Linked DNA regions of Cricetulus griseus. The protein of the gene in region 1 purifies or fractionates together with the protein of each later gene. This does not show direct contact. Links are inferred from orthologs where the notes say so. Each region holds a gene or a part of one and is shown in the gene's direction. Other genes may lie near its edges. The genes, in order: Ubxn2b and Ppp1cc.

Region 1 (3,815 bases):
AGGACTACAGGGCATGAGTAGGAAAGAGACAGGTTCAGGACCTGTGGGAGAACTGTGCTTGCTGACGAGATGTATTCAGCAAGGAACTGAGTAGCCTTCATTCATGCAGAACTGCTCAGTGGGTACTTTGTTTTTTAAGGTCTTTACAAACTTTTAAACATCAGTAAGTTAGGGCCAGACATGGTGTCACATATCTATATTCCCAACATTGGGAAGGTAAATGCAGGACCATCAGAAGCTGAAGGTCAGTGTCACCTAGTTCAGTTCAAGGCCAGCCTCATATACATGAGACCATCTCACTCCTGCCCCAACCAACAAGTCAAACAAAGTAAGAAAGAGCTAGGCATGATGGTGTATGCTTATAATACCAGCACATGCATGACTAAGACAGGAAAACCCGTAAGTTTGATGTGTGCTTGAGTTGCATGGTGAGAGAATGGAAGAAAAGAAGCTTTTAAAGGGAGGTGAAGTCATACCTTCGAGTCATTTTTGAGGTTGCAATGGGAGTGGATAAATATTTTACTGATCAGATGAGTTTCACATAAGAGGAGAACAGAAGGCAAGGACACTGACATCTTGTTGTGGAAAAGGGAAGAAAGGAAACTTAGTAAAAACCAAGGCATGGTTGGAACCCCACTGCACAGAGGGACGAATAGTGTTGTTGCCTTTGGGAAAGTCATGAAAAGACAAAGTTCATTGTGAAGTGAGAAAACGGAAGTGGGAAATGTTACTGCAGCAGTTGTAGATGCTCTTGGCCTGTCTCCACAAAAAACAGCTAGAGAACTCATGAAGCACCCATCAAGAGCAGCACGTAAAGTAGTCATGTGAAACCTTATACCAAAGCTGCAGAGGCCTGAGAAACTGACCAGTGAACCAAGACCGGAACGCTGAGTCTCACACCCTTAGAGATGGCTGTTTTGGCTCTGACAACGATGCCACTGCAGAGCAACAGGGAGAGGGAATCTCATGGCATAGTCCAAGGGAAGATGTTAGTATTGGCCTCTCCATCATGCAACATACAATTATCAATTTTGGATAGATTGTAGCTCTGAATATAAAAGTTCAAACAGTGAGGCTGCTTGAAGAAATGCTGCATTACCTTAGGGGAGGCTATAACAGACTGGTAAACTTTTTCTTATGTCCAGTTTTCTCAGGTCTTTGTCCCAAAAACAAAGAGGCAGGATTGTGAACTTTGCCAGCTTGTTAACCTGACTCAAAGAGGGAAGAGGCTATACTGGGGGCAAACATGGCAGGAAGCTTTGCTCTGCTATCCTCTTTGTCACAGTTACCTGAGGCCATGTGTTAGCCAGTTCCTCCTCTCCAACACTGCACTTAGACAGGCAGGGCATTTCTTTCCTGTTTGCTGCACACTCACACACACACACACACACACACACACACACCTCTCTCTCTCTCTCTCTCTCTCTCTCTCTCTCTCTCTCTCTCTCTCTCTCTCTCTCTCTCTCTCTCTCTCTCTCTCCCAGTATGCAGTGTAAACATGGCAAGAAGCCTTTGTGGGTTGTAGTGTGTCCAGTGACACTGACAGGGTGGTGCCCCTCCCACAGTGTAGTGGGATTCTGCTGAGGTCCACACTTGTGTCCATGGAGATTCTCTTTCACCTGCAGATGAGAACTGCCCGCTTAGGAGAAAACCTGGAAGGGAACCTCTGTTCCTTGTCCAGGGCTGTTGTGTTTCCAATTTTGCTTTGTGAGTTACTGTGAATCGGGAAATGGAGTAAAAGGTGTGGGAAAATAAAAAGTACACTCTTGTCACCATATATTGGAAGTCTCTGTATGCTACTTCATTGATTAAATTTTCTGATATCCTGGGCAGGAAAATCAGTCATGAACAATTAGAATATTAGTCTTAGGTGAATGGAAACTTATGTTTTGTAGCCATTATGAAGATAGAGTCAGGGCAGATCTTAATTACTACACAAGGAGTACATGAAGTTATTCACAGTGGGAATTGTTATGCAGTAGGTCTTTCTACCCGAAGAATAAACCTTCATTGTGTAGCCATATGGGGCAGGAATAGCCTCTGGTTGTTGAGAGTGCTACCCACCACAGGTGAAGAGCTTGGTCTGTGAAAATAGGAAGCCATAAGCAGTCATCCAGGGCTGAGGGCGGAAACAAGGCCTTCATTTGCCCATGTTGGGTGCTGAAGTTGTCAGACTCTCCACAAACTCAGAAGGGATACAAACTATCCCCTATTTTATCTTTGCCTGAATTCCATTTTAAAGTTAAGTGTGTATAAAGAACTCAGGCATTCTTTATTTATGAATAAAAGTTACTTCATATGATGATGTAGCTTCTTAGAGTAGTTTATGACTTTTCTGAGTTTTTATTTATGAGCTGTGATGTTTAAAGGCTTTGTTCAGGTGAACAGGAATATGGTGGATTACATATAGTTCAACCTCCAACTGGGAAAATTGTGAATGAACTTTTCAAAGAGGCAAGGGAACATGGGGCCGTCCCTCTAAACGAAGCCACAAGATCTTCAAGTGATGACAAACCTAAGGTCAGTGCTGTCTTAAAACTGTACTGTTTCTGGGAAGTTGAGAGGTACTTGGACATGTGTCTTGGTAAAGCCTTTGCAATCTTTTTGGCACCCATTGTTGAGAATGACTGTTCTCCACGAAACTTCAGTTTCAGTATTTGGCAGCAGCTAGAAAACTTCCGTCCATGTAGCCTTGAGGTCATTTTAACATTTCCATGTTCCCCAATTCTGTAAGAAAAGTGTGGAACTGATTTAGTCTGTGGAACAAAGGCAGGTTGTAATTTAAAGTGCATTTGTGATGCAAATGGTAATGAAATGAATAGCTATTTCCCCTCATATTGTCCTACCTGAAGACTGTGTATTCAGTAGAGCAAGATCAAAAGTGTGACTGACTATAGCTGACTTGATATAGTTAATATCATTGTGCTGAGAGCTGACTTACTGTACCTTAGAAAACAGCTTGAAATGGAGGCCATCACAGGAAGCCACAGTTTGACATAGTGCAGAGATCAACAGGTCATGGGGAAGCCCAGCCTCAACAGATACGTCTGCATCACAGCTCCTGCATCTATGGCTCAGGGAATATCTCGGAAGAGGGGGCGGAAGAGCTGTAAGAGCCAGAACACCAGGAAGTCAGCTGTGTAACAGTCTCCTGGAAATGGCTGCATAAACAAGACTGGAAGTTTCAATGGACATGTTAACATGGAAGGGGGGAAATTATATGTGGTCACTGAACCCCTAAGAACTACAGCACCAAAAAAACATTCATTATGAGATATGTATTTACATACATGTGTGTATATAACAATAATGAAAAAGAGGCTGCCAACTTGAGAGTGGGTGTGTGGGAGGGGCTGGATAGGGAAAGTGATATAATTTCTATTTCAATTAAAAACATTAAAAAAATCTAAAGCCTATAAAATACATATAGAATTCTTTGTTTTAACATTTATTTCATATGTGTATTCATGTACACATATATCCACAACCCACATGTGGCAGTTAGAGGACAACTTGCATGAGTTTGTTCTCTTCTTCTACCATGTGGCTTTTGGGATCAAACTAAGTTATTTCACATTCTGAGTTACTAATGTTTATGTGAAAAGACATTTAACTTCTCACATACACTTGTTTATAACTTAAGGTCTTTATTCCAATCTATTTTCCTAGTCAGTATGAATCTGGCCAATAATTATTTGTCTAGTTTTGAAATGTCAAGTGTATGAATAACATTTTGACCATAAGCCATAGTGAACTCTTAACCCATTTATCATGTATTTCAGTCATTTACAGGTGGAGGATACAGATTGGGCAGT
Region 2 (3,915 bases), on another chromosome or scaffold:
CCCCAGACGTCAAGATGTCTACTGAGCCAGGTGCCTTGGAGTGACAAATGACACTTGTGGGACTGGTAGGCAAAAACATAGCTTGGGAGAGTAAGTTGGTGACTGAGTAAAATGGTGCAGGCAGTTGAGGGGAGCTGGGATGACTCCAGAAGCTCCACCGTTGGCGCCAGCAGCAGAAAGGAGGCCAGAGATCTGCAAGGGTGCACCCCATGCCATGCTGCTGTGGCCTGGTGAAAATGAATCTCCAGATGGGGAAGCCACCTTGCTAGGAACACACGGAAGGGAATCCGTGCATCCCTTTTGCTTTGAGAATCATGAGCTTTTGGAGTGGGGGGTGGGGAAGAGGATTTTTGTAAACTGTGAAGGGCTGCTTGGAGAGAGAAATGGGTCAGGTGGGTGTGCATTTTCAGATCCAGTTAGCCTGAGAGGCAGCACAGTTGGGGGCTCCCTGGAGAAGGGTGCCCTCGGGGAGGCGATGAAACCAGAGGCAAGCAGCAGTAGAATGTGCTGAAGCCCGGGGCGCACAGCAGCCTCTAACTCGCTTTCCTCCGCAAATTCCCATCTTATCTGCTGCCGTGCGCTCATTCAATCCAGCTCAGGCTAAATCCAGGGGAGAACATCACGGTTATTATATAACTTTCTGAGTTCAAGAAAGATAATCTAAAGATAGGTGACACCTTACAAAAGTCTCCCAACCTCTCCCTAAAATGTAAAACTGCAGAAGTGCACGCAAGAGGTACACAGTTACTGAATTATGCACTACTCACAATGGACTAACGTTTCTTTTATCTGGGGGAGGCTTTCTTTTTTTCAAATACTGGATCTTAGATACTTTATTGCAGTATTACGAAATCTTGGCAGTGCTGGGGATTGAACCCAGGGTCTCACACATACTAGACAAGCGTTCATACCACAGAGTCATACATACAGCTCTTCTTGCTCACCAATATGAGCCGGCATATTTGAATCCTCGACCCTCCAACTTCCTTCTCCTAAAGATCCTCCATGGACATCTCCAACCCAGATTGGTTCCGAGGGGTGGGTGACTGACTCCCTGGTGAGCTCCCACCCCGCCGAGTCTGCAGACATCTGCCCCAAATCAGCAGCACCGGGAGGAGATCTTAACTCTAGCAACGAGCAGCCGCCGGACAATACCCGTCTTTAACTCGCGCGCGCGCCAACTTTGCAACTTCACTCTCCCGCGGGGGGTGGGGTGGGGGTGGGGGTGGGGGCGGGGGGGTGGAGGGTGGGGGTGGGGGTCTATTCCCCGCCCCACCCTCCACTCCCGTCCCCCACCCCCACCCCCCGCCCGTTTGGCGGAAGGATCCCGCGCGCGGATGGGTGTCTCACCGTCTCTGCCAGGCCCCGCCCCTGAAGCGCGAAGGCCGCCCCCTCCCGCAGCGGCCCCGCCCTCCCGCGCCCTATGGGCCTGAAGTCCCGGCCGCCGCTGCACTCCCCGCGCGCGCATCCGTGCGCCGCCCGAGGCTGGCCTGACGAGTCGGCGGCCATTTTGTTCTTCTCGTGGTTCCAGTGGCGAGAGGAGGAGGAAGCCGGGAGCGGGGCGGCTGGGGGGGGGACCCGCCGCGGCTGCTGCTGCCACCGCCGCCGCCACCACCGCTCGTGGGGCTCGTGGCGTGAGGAAGGAGGACGTGTGAGGCCCGGGCGCGAGCCGGCGGCGGCGCCGCTGCGGGAGGGTCGGCGGCAGGACGGCGATGGCGGATATCGATAAACTCAACATCGACAGCATCATCCAACGGCTGCTGGAAGGTGAGCGGCGCGCGGGCGGGCGGGCGGGCGGGGCCGGTGGGACCAGGCCCGGTGGGGACCGGTCCTCGGAAGCCGCTTGGATCTGGGGCGCGCACACAGCGCCTCCGGGTCTAGGGACAGACCCCTTGTTTTTATTACTGCCTCTCCTGCCCTTGCTCTCACATTGTGATAAATCTGGAGTCCAAGGACCCAGTGTGACTTGGCGGGGCGACGTCCCGGGGCGACGAGAGCCCCGTCCCTTGCATCCCCCCCCCCCAAAAAAAAGCCATCCTCCCTCCGGCGCTCTTTCCCCTTGAACGTGCATCCGCACACGGGCCGAGCCGCGACCGGGGTGACAGTGTCTGTGGCTCTCTGCTCATCAGATTGTTGTCCCGAGGAGAGGGGCGCGCTGCTGCATTCAGCGAGCGCCCTGCCAGGTAGGTGCTGTTATCTTGGAAGAAACTTAAAAGACCTCGCCTGACCAAGGGCGAGTCCCGCTTCAAACCCCTGGTAGCCAAGGTCTAGACACGACCTGCCTGCCCTCTTCCACTGTTCACCCTGTGGGAGCGCAGGGCATGCGTGCCTAGTGGCTAAGGGAAGGTTAAAAATCTTTTCTTTTGTCCGACTTATGACGGGGTGGGTGGGGGGCGCTGCAGTGGGTTCCTAGTTGGTGAGAGATTAATATGACATAGGGACTCCCCACAATTCCCGACCTAATGCTGATTGGGTTCTTGACAATGTTATTAACTAGCTGGCTTTTGCTGCTTTTGCCTAAAATACTGTTGGCGTGTAAGAAACATGCCGTGAGTGGTGGTGGTGAACAGCTGCAGAGTCATTGAAAGAAAAGTAAAAAGTGTCTTTTTAATCTGTGCATTTTCTCCCCTAATACTTTATTTTATTGCTTTGTTTAGATCGGGTCTTTTTTGTTTTTGGCTTTGTTGAGACAGGGTCTCTGCAGTCCTGGCTGTCCTGGAGCTCGATGTGTGTAGATCAGGCTAGCCTCAAACTCTCAGATCCCTCTGCCTCCCCTTCCTGAGTGCTGGGGATTAAAGGCTTTTATCATCATTTCCCCTAGATAAAGTCCCACAGAGCCAGAACTGGCCTTGAACTCCTGATCCTTGTGCCTCCTCCCAAGTACTAGAAGTTATAAGCCACCAAGCCTGGGTTATGAAGTCCTGAGGATTGAACCCAAGGCTTCTTCCTACACGCTGAGTAAGCATTCCATCACCTGGGCTGCATCCCCAGCTCAGATTTCGTTGTGTTTTTTTTTTTTTTTTTTTTTTATGTTTAACACTATGCTGAAAAAGTTTTAGCAGTAAACTTGGCTCATCTTTTGTTTTTAAATTTATTTTTCACATGGGATGTGTGTGAGTGCACCCAGGCCACAGCACCCGGGATTAGAGGACAATTGGGTGTGTGTAGTTTGTTCTTATCTTTGTGTAGGCTTGCTTCATCAGCTTTCCTTTCTCCCCCTTTAAAAATTTTTGTTTTTAGATTTTATGTTTTAAGCTTTGTCTTCATATGTATGTGTTTACCACATGCATGCCTATAACCAAGGAGGTTAGAAAGGGGCATTGGGTCCTCTGGGGCTGGAGTTAGATGGTTGTGAGCCACTATCTGTGCTGGGAGCGTAGCCAGGGTTATCCCCAAGAGCAGCAAGTGCTCTTGGCTGCTGAACCATCACCTCAGCCCCCCCTTCTTTTTTCTTTTTTTTTTATGGGGGGAACAGGTTTGAAGACAGCTTTTTTCTACATAGATCAGGCTGGCCTTGAACTCAGCTCTGGGATTAAAGGTGTGTGCCACCATTGATGGGCCCCTATAGTTTCTTGAATGTTACTTTTTAAATTTTGAGACTGAGTGTCACTACCAAGCAAAGGCTAACCTGAGATTTACAGAGATCTGCCTGCCTCTGCCTCCTATAAGTGTTGGAATTGGAGACTTTACCACCATGTCCAGGCTGGTTTTTTATTTTCTTTTGAACTTAATAGAGTAGGATACTATATTTAAATGCTTTGAGAATAAGCTAGTTGCACAGTATATGTTTCTTCTTATTTCTGTATGTGAACTTAACAAAACCACAGCCTTCTGTTGAGGATGTGTGTGCTTCTCCATTAGAGAATGTGGTGTTGTGCTCTCTCTACTTTGTGTACCATCTTTAGGGCCGTCATC

Evidence for each region.
Region 2: the proteins of Ubxn2b (region 1) and Ppp1cc purify together in Homo sapiens (affinity purification with mass spectrometry; 3 studies listed by BioGRID and IntAct, with this or other methods). This does not show direct contact. The link is inferred for Cricetulus griseus from reciprocal best matches to the Homo sapiens genes UBXN2B and PPP1CC.

What each region holds. Positions count from the first base shown.
Region 1 is NC_048595.1:154,297,392-154,301,206, reverse strand, and holds part of Ubxn2b (UBX domain-containing protein 2B), read left to right. Parts: intron 1-2,369; coding exon 2,370-2,520; intron 2,521-3,782; coding exon 3,783-3,815. UniProt on the Homo sapiens protein: Adapter protein required for Golgi and endoplasmic reticulum biogenesis. Involved in Golgi and endoplasmic reticulum maintenance during interphase and in their reassembly at the end of mitosis.
Region 2 is NC_048597.1:102,007,857-102,011,771, forward strand, and holds the start of Ppp1cc (serine/threonine-protein phosphatase PP1-gamma catalytic subunit), read left to right. Parts: upstream 1-1,490; 5' UTR 1,491-1,712; coding exon 1,713-1,767; intron 1,768-3,915. UniProt on the Homo sapiens protein: Protein phosphatase that associates with over 200 regulatory proteins to form highly specific holoenzymes which dephosphorylate hundreds of biological targets.